3 linked regions of the Arabidopsis thaliana genome follow. The protein of the gene in region 2 interacts with the protein of the main gene of each other region in a pairwise test. Each region holds a gene or a part of one and is shown on either strand. Other genes may lie near its edges.

Region 1 (8,102 bases), on a different chromosome or scaffold from region 2:
TTAGTGTCAAAATAACCAATAAGATTCATCATATCATACACCACTTGCCTGAACAATTATCTGCAGATTGCCTCTCAGGTTGACCAGCAACAGATCCTTCATGCACTCCATAGCCCACTCGCTAGAAAGAGTGCCAAAAAACTCAACAAGAGCCTGCATATGGAGCAGAGTGTTATGCAACAACTTGACCACTTAGTAGGTTTAACAACCAAAATATATTTCAGAGGCACTACCTGTGGCTCGATAGCATGTGTGTTTACAATTACACGTTTTATATCAGGTAACTCTGAGTAATGCTGCACAAATCAAAAGGAAAAGAAGTTGGAAGGTGAGAAGATGATAAATCTATTTGGCCGGTAAAAATGGTAAAAAACATGTACCAACCTTCAAGGATTGGATATAAAGTCCAGCCTTTTCACAAAGTTGAGCAATGCGAGGCCGGTCATAGTGGGTGAACATCCCATTTGCTAATACCGCATCAGCCACATTAGGAAAAGTTACCAAATTTATCTCCAGAACCTGTGTTGAAAAATGATTTAAACAGTCTGGGGAAAGAAGGTGAGTAGAGAAAAAAACGGAGAGATACAAGGTGGCAACTATTTTCAACCTTAGTTTGCAGAAAAGCATGCTCAGGTAAATTTGGCTTTAGCACATCCAGAAGGAAAGAAGTCGCTTCACGGATCAGATTTCTCTGAATATGCACAAATAGACAAATAAGCACATGATAATTTACATCTACTGTATACAATTCTGTATATAGGAGTAGAACAAGTAATGAGCTACAAATATTGGTGCATACAGAATATATTGACCTACCTGAAGAAAAAGATCAGTGATGGTGTTGTAGTCAACTGGAGAACCTCCTTCCATTTGAGACATCATTAATGCAAAATTTACTGCTCCCTGCAAATAAAAATTAAAAGACTATTGATATTAATACGGTGGGAAAAAGATTCTTCATTCTATATAACATCAGGTCAAATTATTCAACAAGTTAGTTGATTCATAACTCTTCCAGTGCTTACGCCACATATATTCAGTAAAGTCCTTTCATAGTTTAGTATGTTGCAAGTATCAAGAGTGCACCACACTAACCTGAGGATCTGTACGGAGTATGGTTTGCAGAAGAAACAGGTAATCAGGTGTGTACCCAACCTGAAGTCACAATATGAAACAATGGTAATTCATGAGACAACAGAACTTTAGGGTAAAAATAATAGAAGAGGTTATACTATAGATCTTATTGCTTACCTGCTTTGAGTAAATCAGTATTTTGTCAAACTCCCTTCTTTCTGCAAAAGCTGCTACAACTTTTGGAGTCGCCCGAGCTTTGATGTATATTTTCAGAGCGAGATCATTATCCACAGTCTGGAACAGAAAGGTTTATCGTCACAACACACCATAGGAGACATATCACACATTTTGAATAAAATCGTCCATTTCAAGATTACCTTCACAAGGTCTCCAAGTTCTTCACTGCATTCTAGTTTATCCTCTGCCAACCAGTTTTCCAGGAGGTTCTTCTTGTTTTGGTTCACAACCAGCCGAGATAGTTCCAGTGACTCATATGAATTGAGTTTCCCTCTAGTCAAAAGAGTCCCAAAATACTGTAACAATGGAGGAGTTTGTCCAGCTTGTACAGGAACACTCTGCAAAATTATAGAGTTGAAAAATTGGTGTTACCAACATTTCATCATAAATAAACATGTTTACACATAGTTGCTTGGATATGAAATAGACACCTGGAATTTGGCCACTGTATCAGGTGTCCTTAGAATTCCTTGAGGAGATTCAGCAGCAAGCTCAGCAGCCTCCTTGTACTTTGTTTGAGCGAACAACTCCTGGAACCGCTGGACAACCTACAACATCCGAGCAGAATATGAGAAACTTCACAATACCAAATGACATTTTTTTTCTTCAAGCTGCCATTTAACAACTATATAATTACTTCACCGAGACAACAGATCCATGATAAACATCGCATACCAGATTTTCTGCACCTGGGAGGTTTCCTCTTTTAGCAAGATTGACAGCAAGCTCCAAATTGTTCAACTGTGATACAAAAGCATAGATTTCTTAGCATGACATGATGAAAAGGGTAGGTTATAACGGGAAAATAGCATAAAAGATTAGCATACTTGGCCACTAATAAAAGGTATAATGGTAGCCTCGTTTACTGTAGCCAAAAGAACTTGTCCTCGCCTATTAATGGCATAGAAACCCCCAACTGAGGAAGCTTCAGAAGTCAAGAAAATTGGGTCTGGACTAATCCGATTTCTGTAGATAGCAGAAGCAGTCTCTAGATCGTACACAAACAACAGGCCAAGTTTGGTGATAACATATATCAAGTTAAATTTGTGAGAGACCTGTCAGGAAAATGAGAAATTAGTGCCAGAAATTGTCACTAACTACTTACACATATAACTGAAATTCTAATGCAATAGCAAACCTGCATGGCAACAGGAAAATCATCAGCAAAATCAGGGGGAAAAAAGAGATCTGCTTGTTTTTTTGTAAATGATGGTTTTCCTGCAAAAAAATCGCCAACCTTTAAAGATCAGATGAATACAACCTAGAAAACGTAACCAATTATATTAAATAACAGTGAAGATATAGTTTTGCGTCGGGGAGCTAACCAGGTTGGGCACCAAGCTCAATGACATGCAACTTTGATGTTATCTGCCCAGCATTAAAGCTCTTGCTTGCAAATGATATAAGAATAGAAGGATTCTCATTCCCAGGAACCTAATATTAATAGTGTTGCAAGTCAAACTACAGTTCAAGATTAGACCATAGATGAACTCACCAAAGAACAAAGACGTTACCTTAAACTGCGCAAACGATGCAGCATGTGCCTCAAGGGCCTGACTCCGCTGTTGATCCACAGAGAAAAGCTGCATATTTCCTTTTACCAATTGTTGTCTCTACAGAAAACAGATAATAATGACAAGATCAGTCAAGAATCTACAACATGAAAGCAGTTTTGATGTCTTTTTTTGACCTAATATGTGGCGCAGTAAACTTACCTCAGGAGAGCCAGGAGCAATTCCAATTAAAACCAACCACTTCTCATTAGGAGAGCACTTATAGTTTATAATTTGATTGTTGGCCAAATTGGCTGTTCTATCAAACATCTTAACTGGCTCAGAATCACCTATAAAACCCGAAGGAAAATTAGAAACGAAAACACAAGATATGAAGAAAATGACAGTAGGCTGAAATATACAACCTTCAATTGACCAATGATAGACGGAATTCTGTGTGACCAGCCCCAACATCTTTGGTGTAATCCACTTCCAAAAGACAACCTGTAAAAACATGAAACATTATTATCCAAAAAAAAACCCGACTGAAAAATTCAGAGTTATACGAAGTGTATAGCAGGAACGATAATGGAGTTCAAATATATTTGCATCAACACTCACCTGCTCAGGCATCTGATGTGATTTCAACTTTGCTTTGGCTTCAATGTTAAATATCTGTAGATGATCCTGAGTAGTTCCTGGAACTTGAGCTACATAAATATTGAAGTAAAAAGTGAACATCAAGATAAGTGGATTATGAACTACGAATTCGAGGAAACCGTTATGGGTTTTAGATCAAAGGAAAAAATCAAGTACCTTTCAAGGCAAGGATCTTCGAGTTTGGGTTCATAAGAGCAGAGTCTGCAGTAATAGGCCTCCTAAGAGGCTGCATCGGCATATTCATATCTATAATTACAACACTGTTTTGCGGTGACGTCTCTCGTACACAGATATACTTGTCAGACTCCATAGTAACATTTGTAAACGTGATGAATTGCTGATTGATCCCGATGCTCGGAAGCTGGAAAAATCAAGATGAAGCGTTACGTCAAATAGTTCATTTATTTAGTTATGAGATCCGAGTACATAAGCACATTGCTACAGACAACAACTTGAAATTCGGCATTGATATATTAACGAAACACAGATCTGAGCATAGTTAGAGAAATCTGATCAGAAACATGCATTCCCAAACAAGCGATCCGGAAAAACTAGAGAGTAACACAACGATCGAGCAGAATTCAGATCAGTAGGAAACTGGAATCAATCAATCAAGAGACTGAACAGAGCTTAATCGTAGAAAATCACGGTCGATTCCAGGAGATACACATCTAAATATTCAAAGATAAGAGTGAAGAGTAAGGAGAACTCACCGTCAGGACCTCCTTCATCGTGATGGGGGCGTTGGCAGCCGCCATGTTTGACCTCAGATCACAGCAAGAGTAAATCCGGGGACGGAATCAAATATACGGCTGAGAAGTCCTGACCGCCAATGGCCAGGAGATAGAACCGAGACGAGAGAAAGACTGGAGAAGAAATGAAATCGCTGCCAGATCTGAAGCAAGTGAACGAGAAAGGTGATGGAAAGAGAAAGAAAATTGAGAAAAGAAGAATAACAAATATATATGGGTAAGTAATGACGAACAGCGATCCAATTAGAGTCTTACATTTATAACCAGGTCCGGCCCATATCGGTCCTTACTGGGCTCTAAGCATCCGAATTTCTAATGAGACGACACGTGAAATATTTTAATTGGTGCTTTTAAATGAAGGTACCTTAGGTGAAACAACAATAAATGACTTAATAATTAAGATTTGATCCAAGAAAAAAACTTAATAATTAAGAATGGAAGAAGTGTCATGACTTTTAATAATTTTTTTTAAAAAACTTAATAATTAAAGATTTGATACAAGAAAAAAAAAACTTAATAATTAAGAATGGAAGAAGTGTCATGACTTAATAATTAGAAACAAAACTTAATTAATCTGATCCAAAAGAAGAAGGAATATTATGTCATAGAGTATCACTGATGATTGCAGGTTGCAATTGTATGTTGCATCAAGTCATCCGTCTTGGTTCCATTCAGTTTTCTGTGATGAAAGAGTCATTTCCCCTGGTTGAATTGGTTTTTTTTTTGTTATATGGCTCTGTTGTTTTGTATAGGTTATTGTTGTTATTAGCTTATAGTGGCTTAGTGTGTGGAGATTTGTTTCTCCCTGTGTAATTGCTTCTGTTCTTTGTGTTGGTACATGTTTCCAATCTATCAATTCAAATCCAGTTGAGAAAGATTAAGAAAAAAAATGGAAGAAAATCTCCCAATTTTTATACATAATAAAATGAGATGAATTGATAATCAATTAGATTTAGTTAGTAAAGTTTAATTTTACCGATGAGATCTCAGACGACCAAAACACGAAAATAAAATAAAAAGAAAGATCTCAGAATCGCGTCTTTCTTCTTCTTCTTCGTCTTCTTCCTCCGAAACTTTTTTTTGTTTTTCAAAGTGGTGGAGCTAACCATGAAATCGACTCACCATCACAGAGCTCCACTAATATCTGCTTCTTCCTCATCTTCATCTTCTTCCCAAAACCATTCATTCGTCTCTAGGCTCCTCCTTCTCCTTACTCTACTTCCAGTTTCCCTTGCTTGTCTCGCCTTTATCCTCCAATGGCGAGGCGGTGGTCTCGCCGATCCTGCCTCTGCTTCTGTTCGTTCCTCTACGTCGGTTCCTGGCGGCTCCGATCTCAATCACGAGGTCTTTCCCGGCATGGAGACTGTTTCATCTGTCTCCCCAAAGTCTCACCAATCCTCCTCCGACTGCTCAAATCTAGCTCGCAGCTCTTCTCCTTCTTTTCCTTACTATGCTGATTGGAAGTTTGGTGTTGATACTAGCTTAAAGCCTAAGGTTACTACTTTCAATTCCCCTGATTTCAAGTCTTTGGATCGATCTACACTTCCAAATTCCTTTTTTTTTTCTTAAATCTTACTACAATGTCTAATCTGAAATATCAAGTTGTTCTTTTTTTATTGGATTATAGAGATTTGAGAAATACCAAAGTTCATTTTTTGATCAGATCTGTCTTTGTAAAGTCACCTCACTTTTTGTGCTCCATGTTGTATATGATTCTTGACATTGTTACTGTTTACAGATATGTATCACGACTAGCACATCAGCTGGATTGGATCAGATTCTACCATGGATGTTCTACCATAAGGTTCTAGGCGTCTCAACATTCTTCCTTTTCGTTGAAGGGAAAGCTGCTACTCCGAGTATTTCTAAAGTGCTCGAGTCTATTCCTGTGAGTTGAACTACCTCTCTTCGCGTCCACTGTTTATTTTGTTTTGGCTGTATATCTCTAGCTCTTTAGTCCTGTAGGTATAAATTTGTATTTAAGGTATGCAGTTTTCGATAAATGTAGTCCCATGTCTCTTGCAGGGTGTTAAAGTAATATACAGGACGAAAGAGCTTGAGGAGAAGCAAGCGAAGAGGTTAGTTAGTTATCCCATTGCATATTTGCGACAAAGCTATAGCTCTTCAAGGCACTAAACACATGTTTTGTTGTATATTCTGAAATTGTAGCATTGTTTTGTTGTATTTTCTACTACTGATCATTTTACTGTCATTCTTTTTTGTTTTGTTTCATCAGCCGGATTTGGAATGAGACCTGGCTTTCGTCTTTCTTTTATAAGCCCTGCAATTATGAGTTATTTGTCAAACAATCTCTCAACATGGAAATGGCTATTGTCATGGCTAGGGTAAGTATTTCTTTTAGACCTTATTTGGTTCAGTTTTGACTCATGTCTCATGTTACATTCTCATTTTTCTTGTTCTTACTAAATATCAGGATGCGGGCATGGATTGGATACTTCATCTTGACACTGATGAGCTGATATACCCAGCAGGTGCTCGTGAGTACTCACTAAGACGGTTGCTGCTTGATGTTCCTCCAAATGTGGATATGGTTATATTTCCAAATTACGTGAGTGATATCTCATTCACACTTCTTGCATTGCTTATTTTCAGCTAGTTTTGTGAGTCTAAAGTTTCTTTTATGATCTGGCCTTTGCTATGAATAATGCTTTTGGATTTTGTTGTTTAGGAAAGCAGCGTAGAAAGAGATGATATCAAGGATCCTTTTACAGAGGTATAATTCAGTTTATTACTGTCTTTACGTAAGAGAGTAGGTTTATTAATATTTGTTTGTTATGTTAGTATTACTTCTGAGATATGTGTGGTGCAAGCAGGTGTCAATGTTCAAGAAGAATTATGATCATCTTCCAAAAGATACATATTTTGGAATGTACAAAGAAGCAACACGAAATAATCCAAATTACTTTTTGACTTATGGTAACGGCAAATCAGTTGCTCGGGTTCAAGATCACCTTCGTCCAAATGGAGCACACAGATGGCATAATTACATGAAAACTCCCAAGTATGTCTATCATATATTCAAACATAACTAAATTTTCTATTGGTTGAGGAACATGATAGGACTTTGTTGTTACTCTAATATAGAACCATGTAACTATCTTAAAGGAGTTAGCAGTGGAGTGGAGTTCCGGTTAACAGCGTAGTTAATTTTTTCTGTTTGTGAAGCCAATTTTTTTTTGGAAATACTAACCTGATGATTCTTGCTAGTGAGATCAAATTGGAGGAGGCTGCTGTCCTACACTACACATATTCAAAATTTTCTGACTTAACATCCAGGCGTGATCGATGTGGCTGTAAGCCTACAAAAGAAGACGTGAAAAGATGCTTTATGTTGGACTTTGACAGATCTGTGAGCATCTTTTCTTAAAATCTCTAAAAGTCCTTAGTCATTTCTTAAAATCTCTATATTTCACTTCCTCTTACCCTTTTATGATGCTGTATGGATCAACATTGTAGGCATTTATAATTGCGTCAACAGCAACTGACGAAGAAATGCTAAGCTGGTAAGAGCCTTAGCATCGTTCTTGGTTACTTGTGAAATAGATAACTTCTGACACTCTTTGAACAAGTTTGGTCCTATTGTGATTACAAAAATATCTGGTCTTGATCAAAAAGTAATCTACCCTGTGTAGGTACCGTGAACACGTTGTGTGGGGTGACAAAGACGTGAAGACGAAACTCCTTAGGAAGGGTATTCTGACTCGCATCTATTCACCAATGGTAAGAACATACTCTGCAATTCATTATACAAAATTCCAAACACAAGTCCTGGAATGTTGAGTTCTTGCAAGTCAATTGTAAAATATTATATACATTTGTGGTAAAATGCAGGTTGTTATACAAGCATTGAAAGAATCTGGTGTCT
Region 2 (5,956 bases):
GGACACGGCAACAAATGACCAAATTCTATACACAAAAACAACAAACGAGTAACGTTTAAAAATGCTGACGTGTCCCAATATGATCTTACCTTTGATATCGTTTTTAAGGAAAAGTTGTGATTGTCTGAGTCAGCTTGTATGAGTTCCTACGTGTTGAACTAATCCTGACACTACCTGAGGGAGGTAATCACAACATTTTTCATATATAACCGCCCCAATTTCACTGATTTCACCTTTTCCTTTTACCAATCACATCATCCCAATTATTTACGTACTTAGCTTGACTAGTTGTCGTTCATTACAACCATCTTAGGTTTCTTATAATCATTCCTGTTACGTAGTAAAGAACTATTTTACGTAATAGATAAGATTAGATATCAGTTGAAATTATTGACTATATAGACATCCTAATTTTATTTCCATTGTTAAATTTGTTAATATATCTAACTATCAAAACCTAAATCGACGTGTCACACTCAAACTTATAAAGACTAAACCTATTACAAGAAATAAGATCTTATAGGCCGAATTTGTTTGGTACGTTGATGATCCAAATATAAATAATAGTTTTTCTTTTTCTTTTTAATTATGAAAGGTTAAAAATTCATAAAAAAAATTACCCATATTTGCTTAAGACGCTAGCTTTTCTATAAATACAGCATAGCCATGTGTAATTGATCATCAGATAAGTTCCGTGGTTATCCCATTAACCTTCTTTCTACACAACACAAAACTATATATAAAGATCATACATGTAATAACGTCCTGCAACTATTACAATCATTCTCGCTTGAATTAACGTGGACGTCATTGTTTTTGGATTGTTAATCAAAGGCGGCGTTACTTTTTTTTAATATAATTGTTTCTTTAGGATCTTTGTCTCTGGAAAATGAAGGAAGACGCAGGAAACCCTTTGCATCTCACGTCACTGAACCATGTCTCTGTCTTGTGCCGATCCGTCGACGAATCTATGAATTTTTACCAAAAGGTGTTAGGGTTCATCCCGATACGAAGACCTGAATCCTTAAATTTTGAAGGCGCTTGGTAATTTATCATCATTTTATTTAAAATATATCTGAATTTTGAGGGACAAAAAAAGTACCAATGAGTTTAGTTTTTTTACATGTTCTTTTTTTTGGGGGGGTCTAGGTTGTTTGGTCACGGGATTGGAATACACCTCCTGTGTGCCCCAGAACCAGAGAAACTTCCCAAGAAAACTGCGATTAATCCCAAGGATAATCACATCTCTTTCCAGGTAATTTTTCGTGTGTGTTAATTCTCAGTTTTGCCCTGTTTTTTGTTTTTTTCAATAAAACTTTTGTGCTTTTTAAAGCCATAAACCATAATCTACGTTCATACAAGCTCTGTATTTAGATGTTGTCTTAGGATATTTTTCTATATTTATGAACCTTTTGTGCAAAACACAATCTCAGAATTATTTATTATTAAGGAAGAAAATCCAAAATTTGTTAGTTTCCTAAGTAAATGACCCTTAGGATAGAATTTGTTAGTATAGTTTGAATTGGCTTATGATAACTATTGAATGAAAGAAACTGAATTTATGAGAGAACAAAAATATCCTAGAGAAAATGACAAGAGATAAGTTAAGAAGGGAGAGAAAAAAAGGACAATAGAAGGTGGGGTTTTCAGAGGTCAAGTTTTGTGAGTCAGAAGTATTCATTGTTCCATTATTGACAACAAACAATTTTGTTTTATGAATCAAAACATCCTCAACTTTTATAGTTGTGTAATAGAAATGTTAGTTAGGATTATACAACAAACCACTTGGTTTTAAGCATCAAAACATCTTGTGTTTGGTATGTGTGTGAAGAATTTGTGAGACAATTAACAAGAGGAGATCCCAAGTATATAGTTGTTACTCTGTTTTTTGAGCATACATAAGATTATAGTAGAAATTTTGGTCTGAATAATAAGAGTTGTGAATTATGGAAATGCAGTGTGAGAGTATGGGAGTAGTGGAGAAGAAGCTGGAGGAAATGGGGATAGATTATGTAAGGGCATTAGTAGAAGAAGGAGGGATCCAAGTGGACCAGCTCTTCTTCCATGACCCTGATGGCTTCATGATCGAGATTTGCAACTGCGATAGCCTCCCCGTAGTCCCCCTCGTAGGAGAAATGGCTCGGTCCTGCTCAAGAGTCAAACTCCACCAGATGGTGCAGCCACAACCGCAGACTCAGATCCACCAAGTGGTCTACCCTTAATTATAAACAGCTCACTTCTTCTTTATATTGTGTGTGTTTGTGTATTGGTGTGCTTGGTTTTGGGTGTAATATACAATAAGAGACCGATGTGAATCAGCGAATGTGATTCCCTTCGAGGAAATGACCATTCTCTTTGCTCCACAAGCTTATATAATATAATCAAGGGAAATCATGTTTTACATATATGTATATTGGTTAATGTATTTGGTTCGATTTAACTCTTTTGTGCAATGCAACTAAAGAGACTAGACTATTCACTCTCTCAAGAAATGCATTCTAGACCCTCGAAGTTAACGTATATGTTACGAATCTCATATCTACATTGAACGGTCTAACAACAAAAAGGCTTGTAAAGAGATTCCAAGCTAGTTCGTAGAGGCATCCAATACATGTTTGGCTCTCGCATTCCCCTTTTGTTTAGAAGTCACAATTTCAATTGAGAAAGTCTATTGCAAAAATTTGATCCAAATAGAAAAAGTTGATACAGATTGTATTGCTAAGGCACACCTTACATTTCTTATATTGTAATATAAATACCAAGAAATAGAGTTCCACATCTAAAAGAAAGAAGATCTAAAGTAATATATGAAAGCCATAAATCATTCTTCCATACGTTGGAATCCCATGAGATATAACAGTACTATATATACAAGAAAGAAATAATACATGTGTATATTGATAAGTAGTGTTAAGGGCCTTTGGAGAGCATGTTTTCAATGGATTCAAGACGCTGGAGAAGAAGCTGATTTCTGAACTTTGTGATGAAAGCTTCTGCGCTCTTGTCCACGTCCATCGATGCCTTCCTTTCCACCTTCTTATTCATCGTCTCTTTAATAACAATATTAGTGGTACCATTACCACTTTCTTTTGCGGAACTCATCATCATCTTCATGTTCTTGTTGTTGTTCATGGTAGAGATGTGTGTGTAACAGTGCTTGTGTTTCCTTAATTGATTTTGGAGAGAGGGTGAATTGTTATATTTTGGAGATGCTCGAGACCTATGTATTTATAGGGGATTTTCATTTTTTTTTTTATTTTTTTTTAATAAAAAACTGTAGTTAGACATATAGGAAAGGAGAAGACTTATTTCTCTTTACGTAAACCATAGTTGAATGTTGAAGGAATAAAAAGAAATGGAATCTTGAATCTCAAGTTATACACGCGACTTATTAACAATAACAAAAAACGTTATATACGAGACCCATCCATAGTCAGAGAGGAATGATCTACAAAGCACCGTCTCTACTCTCTACTTTATAATTTATATATTTCTTTTTTAAGAAAAAATAAAATATACGTTAATCCTCTATTAACTATTGGAATAACATAGCATCAAATCTAAGATTCTGCTTGAAAGAAATGTAAAAGAGGTTGCCTAACTACATATTAAATTTGAATTTGTTAATTTGGAGAAACAAGGATGCAAGATTCTAGAAAGTTATATATAATTTGACCATTCGTCACTAACCAAAACAATTGGCTTTGTTGTTTTTATATACCACACGAATTACGGCTTAAGCATTGGAGATTGAACTCGTTAACTCACCGCCCACTATTCCCATTGTCGCCGCTCCGGTAACCGGTACCGCTTCTTCTTTACCAAGAAGAACAATAAAATAAAAGAGATTATGTGGCTTAAGTTAGCTTATAACCTAAGTACCTAACTCTAAACCGAACTAATTAGTTTTCGGCAGATTCGTTGAATCATGTATGATATATTGATACACATACTTTTTTTATTAAAATGTATAGAGAATATTGGTTCAAAATTCATTTGCCGTGATCGAAGAATAATGCGATTATCAAAATAAAATAAAATAAGAAGCTTCAAAGCAAACGTACATGGTAGAGTTACAATTTGATTAATTATGAACCGTTATTGGCCATAACCAAACATAAAAATTAATGATTTTGAACCCACTAGTTTAGGATGTTATTTGGTAATTCAAATTTGATTTATCTATTACAGTTTTTAAATTTATTTTTGTTATTACGTAGTTGGCCTGTGGTGGTGGATTGCTCCGGATAACATCACTAACGCATATTTATAATCACACGATTAAAGAGTGTTTTGGTAGTTAATGCATGTAATAGATTATCTTTTCTTTTTGTGCAACGGTAATAGATTACCTAAGGAATATCACAATCGTATTGGACAGATATTGGAAACTAATCAAACTCAAAATTATTATGTTTTATGACAACATTATCTCTATAGAGAATCCCTGTGTTGTCAAAAAGAAAAACAATTATGTATTAGGCCCAAGGAAGAGCAGAACTATCTCATTTCTATTGGGCTATTAAGATAATAGGCTGAAAGAGCGATTTTAGGCCCAAGGAGTCGTATTTCAAGAAATGACGACCGATGGGACTCCACCGAGACGAAGCGACGGCCATGGAAACCCTTTTCAGAGTCTCACTTCGTCTACTTCCGGTTTCCGCCGCCGTGACATGTCGCTCGATCCGATTCCCCGTTTCAAGACCCGGTTCCTCACACTTACTGAACCGTAAGCTGTATAATTTGCCTACTTCTTCTTCCTCCTCTTTGTCGACAAAAGCCGGTTGGTTATTGGGTCTTGGTGAGAAGAAAAAGAAAGTGGATTTACCGGAGATAGTGGCATCTGGTGACCCGGTTCTGCACGAGAAGGCCCGAGAAGTTGACCCGGGAGAAATCGGGTCGGAGCGTATTCAGAAGATAATTGATGATATGATTAAAGTTATGAGATTGGCTCCTGGAGTTGGCCTCGCTGCTCCTCAAATTGGTGTTCCCTTAAGGGTAAGTCTATAAATGCTTTTCCTAGTTTCACCCATTTCGAAGCAAATGATTGAATTAGTGTTTCATGGTGAATGATGCAGATTATTGTATTGGAAGATACAAAAGAGTATATAAGTTACGCACCAAAGGAAGAGATTCTTGCTCAAGAAAGACGTCATTTTGATCTCATGGTAAATAATAGAATCAGAGTGCTTAAGAGTTGTTACAATTTTCGATTAGAACAAAAATGTTGAAGTTTGGGGGTTTTGGTTAGGTGATGGTGAATCCGGTTCTCAAGGAGAGAAGCAACAAGAAAGCTCTTTTCTTTGAAGGATGCTTGAGTGTTGATGGATTCAGAGCTGCGGTGGAGAGATACCTTGAGGTGGTAGTGACGGGCTACGATCGTCAAGGAAAGAGGATTGAAGTGAATGCTTCAGGTTGGCAAGCTAGGATTTTGCAACATGAGTGTGATCATTTGGATGGTAATCTTTACGTTGATAAGATGGTACCACGCACTTTTAGGACAGTCGACAACTTGGACTTGCCTTTAGCTGAGGGCTGCCCTAAGCTCGGACCTCAATGACAGATTCTTCAACAAAAGTTGTAATCTTCTGTTTTGATTCTTTACTAAAACTCTTCTAGATTGAGCTTGACTCAAATAATTTCAAAGATGAAACTTTGTCGGAAAGAGGGTTCTTTTTTCGGGTTTGGTAATGGATTGAAAGATTTTCATTTAATAAAATATTATAACTTGAAGACAGAAGATATTAGTACAATTAAAGACAGCTATTCTACAAATGGTAATGTGATGTTATGCTTACTCCGGACAAGACACGGTGTCGTAGCCGTTTAATGCGGCGGTGAAACGGCCCTCCCCCTCGGCGGGTCCAGTAAGTATATAATTTGAGATACGAATATTAATATTAAATCAAAACATCACATCAGAGCCGTCTAATTCCAATCAAAGCAGATTGATTTA
Region 3 (7,185 bases), on a different chromosome or scaffold from region 2:
TGACCAATCAATTTTTCTCGTTTTTTGGATTGAGTTTGGAGCTTCTTTTTTTTTTCTTTTGAGTGGTCTACATTTGACATTCTCTTAGAATTTTAAAATGATAAAGAATAGAATAATATTAATTAACATTTGGTGGTCGTATGTTCTAGTCTACTTCAACAAGCGTTCGGGATTAACTCATGTGTCTCGCGCTGAGTCACTCATCATAATCTTAAAACCCTAAGGAAAAAGAAAATCCAATGGCACACGTAAATTACACTTTCTTTCTTTTTATAACAATTATACTGTTTTTAAGAGCATCGTTAATAAAACCCTTCGAGTGATCAAATCCCATTTGGTTTCCAGAAAACCATCATAAACTTATTCTTCTTTCAGGATCTCATTTGCGGATTTGCCTCTCAATTTGGTCAACACGTATACTATCCTAGCGAGACGCTACTCATACGCTCATTATTACAATTAAAGTACAATCATTTATATTATGAGTGAAGTTATTATCTACGTTATCTGAAATTATAACTTACGTACGCGAGTGAATACATATACTCCAACTTGTGAAGAAATTAACGTTTTTCCGATAAATCACTTTATTGATATATCAAATTACCGATGATATAGTTGATTAAGCCATGTCGCTGTTTCGCTGAAGTATGTTTAAAGTACGACGCCACGCGATCTGTATAACAAAGCGTGGGACAATCAATCTTTCAATCTAGCTAACGTTACGCTAATATCACGAATTTTTCTATTCTATATATGTATTCAATGGGTTTGACTTTTACTTTGTGACACATTTATTCTTCATTAAGCTGATTGGTTAAACAGATTTAAACCTTTCTCTTTACAATAACCATTATAACCTATATAACATAACTCATGTAATAAGCCGATAATCGAGCGCGAGACACATGAGTTTATCCATTAGTCACTGTCAGTCTGTCACCAACCATTCAGAACATTTGTTTTAAATTTTAATTACGTGAATGATCTAATTACGACATTGTAGTAATCAAGTGGCTAAGCACTTAAGCTTATCCAATTTTCAGAAATTATATATACCATTCGATTTCGGGTGTATACAAAATGTATACGGCATTAAATAAAATAAATATTTGATTTATAATGTAACGTAGAATATATTTTATTTTTGAACAATTACGTAGAAATATCAACTAGATTAACCAGAAAAACACGTGAATTAAGCAAAAGAAAAGTCATTAGGAGACTTTTGCTATTGATTTTAAAATATTTGTGGCGCTCTGAATGTCTTGGTTTTGAATATGATGTTATTCATTATATAATTTAATTAAACGGAGAAATATATAACCTTTTTTTTGTCAAAAGGAGAAATATATAACCTAAGTAATCAAATGTGTCTAGTTTTGTTATTTTTCTAAATAATTATGACCAGGCCTTGTCGAATTAAAAGTTAACAAGTTATGATGAATGTGTCCGAAAAAGTTTGAGATACATAAATCAATAAATCACATCACGTAGACATCAACAAATAATTTGTGTATTTCTAAACGTGCAAATATTTCCTCTGTCGCAATTTCCTTGAATCGTACAATAAAAAAAAAAAAACGCATGGGTTAAAAAATAAGTGTGGCTGAGAATTGATAGGTAGAAGTTGTTGTTAAATTATTGAACAAGCCAGCTCCATCGGTAGTGTGCCATATGCACCGCAAAAAAAGTGATTATCAACTACGATGGTTAAAAAAGAAAAATCTTCTCTTACATTAAAAATAATAAATTCTTTTTGTTTTACCGTTTCAAAATGGATTATATTTCCAAGCAGTATCTATACAAAATTAATTCCATACATACTCTAGTTATTAATATTTTCCATATTTAAAATAAAACTTTGATCTACTTTTCTATTCTTTTATCAAATAGATCCGTATTTTGAATATATGTTTTAAGGAATTAGATCTCTCTCTTTTTTCCTGTCATGCAATTCGTAGACAAAAATATAATTTGTAAACTAATTAAATATTCGAAAACATAAGTTCAAAGATAACTTAAATGTAAATATTTAGTGTCTTACAAACCATAGGAATAGAACAACTAGATAGAAGATAAAATTTAAAGGCTTAGTTTGTCGTTTTTGTTGTTATCGGTTTGGTTTGCTCTCATAGATGGAGGTACTTGGTCTGGAAACATGTTTTGCATCATGTTAGTCCAAAAGTCGACATCCTTGAGTTTCAGCTCCATCTCTTCAATCTTCTTCTCCAGCTTGTTCAACTTTTCTTGTGTCTCGAGATACTTATCTTCGTAAAACAAAGATGGAACCGCCTTCATTGATCCATATGCAAAACGTTTGTCTTTCTTTATTTGAACCTCCTAAAACCCCCAAAAAAATACTTTTAAAAGAAAGTTAGTTGATAACTTATAAAATTATTGTTAGAAAATAAATAATTTTTAAAAATTCAAAAGTGTCACCTCTTTGTATATGTCATCTTTTTCATCTTGGGTGAGATATTGGTGGTCTCCTTGAAACATTTGAGTTAGTCTCTCGTCCTCTAAGACTTTGCTCTTCTCAACTACCAACTCGGCTTTTTGGTCGACAAAGGTCTCGTCCGAATTTATCTTGTTGGTCTCCTCCATTGAGGTGTCCATATCAAGGAGCTCACCAATCTCCTCATCCCGGTTTAATTGTATACTTTCTGGGGTTGAGGCACGGCCCATACTTGATTCGATTTTCCTTAGAATTTCATATAAAACAGAAGCAATGCTGCGTGCATTTATCAACTTCTCTTGCTGACTATATTCAGATAAATTTCCATAGGTTAATGTTGGTTCGTTGAAATTGAACTAGAACTAGCAATAGTCAGTAGATTTTTTTAAAAATGGAGGATATATATATACCTATTATCCAAATTGAATGATGCACCATGTCTGATGATGTATTCATTGTAAGCATGATAAACACGTTTGAGTTCCTTATGATCATTTATTTCCTTTCTTCTTCTTATAGTAAACTCGTCATCCTACTACAAGTAAACAAATTAAAGATCAAGACAAACAACATAACAACTTAATATATAAGGTTAGAAATTTCATGAATTATCCGGAGACTGATCCACACCATTCATATGATCGGTCATATCTTAAAAAAAATCAAGAAACTAGCTAGAATCAGTGTCACGTTTTCTACTCTTAGGTGACTTGCCTTCTCTAGCCTTCGAAGAAGAGAATTTTTGAACTGTCGTACACCTCTTCCGTTAGATCTACTGTCAATGCGGTGAGCTTCTTCAAAAGTATAAAAACGGCCTACGACCAGAAAAAATAAAAAGATTAACATATAAATTATGATTCTTTAACAAGAAAGCGTGAATTTCGACTCAAAAACAGAGAAAATCCTAAAGTAGTACTCAAATTTAGGGAATTAGACGAGAGTAAAGTAAACTCACATAGATAAGCAACACGAGGATCATCAGACTCAACCAAGTTTGCTACACGAAGAAACCTTTGAATCCCTGAGGCTAATGTCTCCGGAAGCTTCTCGCTGTCATAGGGCTCCCACACATATTGTTCTTTCAAAGCGAGGGGTCTCGTGAACAAGCTGGTTGCCGGCGAATCTTCCGGGAGGATGGGATCCATATCAAGAAAAACATCGGTAGGATCCACAGGGGCGATTTCGTTAGACGACATTGGGAGATGAAAGCTGCTTCTTCTATTGTTTTAGTTGGCATGGAGATAACATTGGAGATGGAATTAATTATATAAAGCAGCACTTGCTTAGCGAGGTGGAATTCTATAAAATAAACAATGTAAAGACGGTGTTTGAAGTGTTAATTAAAAGTGATTTATTGGAGGAGAAAAATGCTTTCTACTAGTTTGGTACTAGAGAAAGTGGTTTCCTAGCAAAAGTTTACACTTTACACGATAATATCAACGTGCATGGGAAAAGAAAAACCATTAAAACAAGTTGAGATAGACTAAATCTTATGAATTGGAATATAATTAAAGCATATGTATATATTTCTTAGCCACCAAGAATATACCAAAATATAGACTACAAAAATAACTTGATGTCCAAATCAAACCAAATTGTAAAATGTATTAAAAAAAATTAGTCATCTTTTTTTTTTTTGTAAAACAAACTTTTTTAGTCATCTTTCGGTACAAATCATAGATGAGTAGTCGATGTGTTCAAAATTATCATTTTATTTATTACCATTTTATTAATGGTAATTTTTGTTCTAACTATTTGTTTAGTTTGAATGTGTGATGAAATTAATTTCTAAAGCGTAGTAGTAGTAGTAATGGGTAATTTGGTCATTGCGTAGTCTCCCACTGGTTCTCCGTAACTGTCTCAAAATTACTCATTTGAGACGCTCATTCGTTTTCCTTCGTTCCCTCTCTTTCTTCACACTCCTTTTTTTATTTATTTCCATTGATCTCTCTCCTCTCCTCGATTTTTCCCTCCTTTAATCCATCTCTGCATATTCTTCAAGCTTGGGTTCATCTTCATCTTGATCTGAATCGATCCGGTATGTGAACTCTTTCTCTTTCCCTCAATTCTCTATAAATCTCTAAGCTCAATTCGTTATTGTACGTCTTCGTTCTGCGTTTGATGCCGTATCCTGAAGTTTTTTTTTTTTTTTCGGTTCATGATGCTTTCTCATCGTTTTCCACTGGATCTGCTGCTAAATCTGGGAAATTTTAGCGTATTTGGATTTGCTACATTTGTCATACATACTTCTGGATCTAGATCTGCCTTATTTTTTCCTTGATCATTTCGAATTTTGGATTAATAGTTGTAGCTTGTCCTTTTATCAATTCGAATCTCATGACTTTGATTGTACTGAATCACACAGTGAAATTTTGTAAAAAAGGATAGATTTTTGAATGGTTCTGCTTAGTGTGTAGTCTAACTGTTTGATTAAATGTCGCAAGATGAAGTTTTTCTTGTGCTGTTTCGTCTGTCAATGAAGCTTTTCTGAATTGAATTTTCATGGGTTTTGATGTTGCAGATGGCTACATATAAGCCTAAGAACATCCTCATCACTGGGGCTGCTGGATTCATAGCCTCTCATGTTGCTAACAGACTAGTTCGCAGCTACCCTGACTACAAAATTGTTGTGCTTGACAAGCTTGATTACTGTTCTAATCTGAAGAACCTTAATCCTTCTAAATCCTCTCCCAACTTCAAGTTTGTGAAAGGAGATATCGCCAGTGCTGATCTCGTCAACTACCTTCTCATCACTGAAGAAATCGACACCATTATGCACTTTGCTGCTCAAACCCATGTTGACAATTCTTTCGGTAATAGCTTTGAGTTTACCAAGAACAATATTTATGGTACCCATGTCCTTTTGGAAGCTTGTAAAGTCACTGGCCAGATCAGGAGGTTCATCCATGTGAGTACTGATGAGGTCTATGGAGAGACTGATGAGGATGCTTCAGTGGGTAATCACGAGGCTTCTCAGTTGCTCCCAACTAATCCATACTCCGCCACTAAAGCTGGAGCTGAGATGCTTGTCATGGCATATGGTAGATCATATGGGTTGCCGGTTATAACAACTCGCGGGAACAATGTTTATGGTCCTAACCAGTTTCCTGAAAAGTTGATTCCTAAGTTCATCCTCTTGGCCATGAATGGGAAGCCTCTCCCAATCCACGGAGATGGATCTAATGTGAGAAGTTATCTCTACTGCGAAGATGTTGCTGAGGCATTTGAGGTTGTTCTTCACAAAGGGGAAGTTAACCATGTCTACAATATAGGGACAACGAGAGAAAGGAGAGTGATTGATGTGGCTAATGACATCAGTAAACTCTTTGGGATAGACCCTGACTCCACCATTCAGTATGTGGAAAACCGGCCATTCAATGACCAGAGGTACTTCCTCGATGACCAGAAGCTGAAGAAATTAGGATGGTGTGAGCGAACCAATTGGGAAGAAGGACTGAGGAAGACAATGGAATGGTATACTGAGAACCCTGAGTGGTGGGGCGATGTTTCTGGAGCTCTGCTTCCTCATCCACGGATGTTGATGATGCCCGGTGACCGACACTCTGATGGCTCTGACGAGCACAAGAATGCAGATGGTAATCAGACATTCACGGTGGTTACTCCCACCAAGGCTGGTTGTTCCGGAGACAAAAGATCCTTGAAGTTCCTCATCTATGGGAAGACTGGGTGGCTCGGTGGTCTTCTGGGAAAACTATGTGAGAAACAAGGGATTCCTTACGAGTATGGAAAAGGAAGACTAGAGGATAGAGCTTCTCTCATCGCAGATATTCGCAGCATCAAACCAAGTCATGTCTTCAACGCCGCTGGTTTAACTGGGAGACCCAATGTTGACTGGTGTGAATCTCACAAAACTGAAACCATCCGAGTCAACGTTGCTGGAACTTTGACTCTTGCAGATGTTTGCAGAGAGAATGATCTGTTGATGATGAACTTTGCCACTGGTTGTATATTCGAGTATGACGCTGCACATCCAGAAGGTTCAGGGATTGGTTTTAAGGAAGAAGATAAACCGAATTTCACTGGTTCTTTCTACTCAAAAACAAAGGCAATGGTAAGATAATATCACATAACCAAATCACATCTGATCCTCAGTCTCTTGAACTCTGTCCATAAAAAATCCTCTTGTTTCTATTTTTGCCAGGTGGAAGAGCTTCTAAGAGAATTTGACAACGTATGCACCTTGAGAGTGCGGATGCCAATCTCATCTGACTTAAATAACCCGCGAAACTTCATCACGAAGATCTCGCGTTACAACAAAGTGGTGAACATTCCAAACAGCATGACCATACTAGATGAACTCTTACCAATCTCGATCGAGATGGCGAAGAGGAACCTAAGGGGAATATGGAACTTCACCAATCCAGGAGTGGTGAGCCACAACGAGATATTAGAGATGTACAAGAGTTACATCGAGCCTGATTTCAAATGGTCCAACTTCAATTTGGAAGAACAGGCTAAGGTCATTGTTGCTCCACGGAGCAACAACGAGATGGATGGTGCCAAGCTCAGCAAGGAGTTTCCAGAGATGCTTTCCATCAAAGATTCGTTGATCAAATACGTCTTCGAACCTAACAAGAGAACGTAAAACACAGACACACACACGCACTTCCCCGCTCTGTGTTCACTATAATGTTTCTACTATAGTTTTATCTGATTCATTTACTCTCTTTTTTTGCATTCTACGACTTGCATGTAGCTGTCTTCAC

The links.
Region 1: the proteins of AT1G15385 (region 2) and AT3G08530 interact in a two-hybrid assay, tested with the Arabidopsis thaliana proteins (one large-scale study listed by BioGRID).
Region 3: the proteins of AT1G15385 (region 2) and AT3G14780 interact in a two-hybrid assay, tested with the Arabidopsis thaliana proteins (one large-scale study listed by BioGRID).

What each region holds. Positions count from the first base shown.
Region 1 is NC_003074.8:2,591,190-2,599,291, forward strand, and holds the start of AT3G08530 (Clathrin, heavy chain), read right to left. Parts: upstream 4,466-8,102; 5' UTR 4,223-4,465; coding exon 4,178-4,222; intron 3,826-4,177; coding exon 3,621-3,825; intron 3,515-3,620; coding exon 3,426-3,514; intron 3,309-3,425; coding exon 3,230-3,308; intron 3,155-3,229; coding exon 3,027-3,154; intron 2,925-3,026; coding exon 2,826-2,924; intron 2,746-2,825; coding exon 2,637-2,745; intron 2,530-2,636; coding exon 2,450-2,529; intron 2,367-2,449; coding exon 2,139-2,366; intron 2,053-2,138; coding exon 1,987-2,052; intron 1,860-1,986; coding exon 1,743-1,859; intron 1,650-1,742; coding exon 1,452-1,649; intron 1,369-1,451; coding exon 1,252-1,368; intron 1,156-1,251; coding exon 1,096-1,155; intron 904-1,095; coding exon 817-903; intron 692-816; coding exon 608-691; intron 520-607; coding exon 385-519; intron 297-384; coding exon 234-296; intron 154-233; coding exon 49-153; intron 1-48. Other genes in the region: KOB1 (elongation defective 1 protein / ELD1 protein), read left to right, coding at 5,324-5,710, 5,955-6,104, 6,242-6,294, 6,453-6,561, 6,651-6,785, 6,906-6,950, 7,051-7,238, 7,445-7,586 and 3 more.
Region 2 is NC_003070.9:5,290,066-5,296,021, forward strand, and holds AT1G15385 (cotton fiber protein), read right to left. Parts: upstream 3,274-5,956; 5' UTR 3,133-3,273; coding exon 2,911-3,132; 3' UTR 2,647-2,910; downstream 1-2,646. Other genes in the region: GLYI4 (Lactoylglutathione lyase / glyoxalase I family protein), read left to right, coding at 890-1,044, 1,150-1,255, 1,959-2,222; PDF1A (peptide deformylase 1A), read left to right, coding at 4,588-4,998, 5,079-5,168, 5,252-5,560; AT1G15400 (uncharacterized protein), read right to left, coding at 5,954-5,956.
Region 3 is NC_003074.8:4,959,812-4,966,996, forward strand, and holds AT3G14780 (callose synthase), read right to left. Parts: upstream 3,759-7,185; 5' UTR 3,655-3,758; coding exon 3,414-3,654; intron 3,274-3,413; coding exon 3,173-3,273; intron 2,991-3,172; coding exon 2,869-2,990; intron 2,765-2,868; coding exon 2,443-2,764; intron 2,344-2,442; coding exon 2,086-2,343; 3' UTR 1,966-2,085; downstream 1-1,965. Other genes in the region: RHM3 (rhamnose biosynthesis 3), read left to right, coding at 4,971-6,530, 6,621-7,064.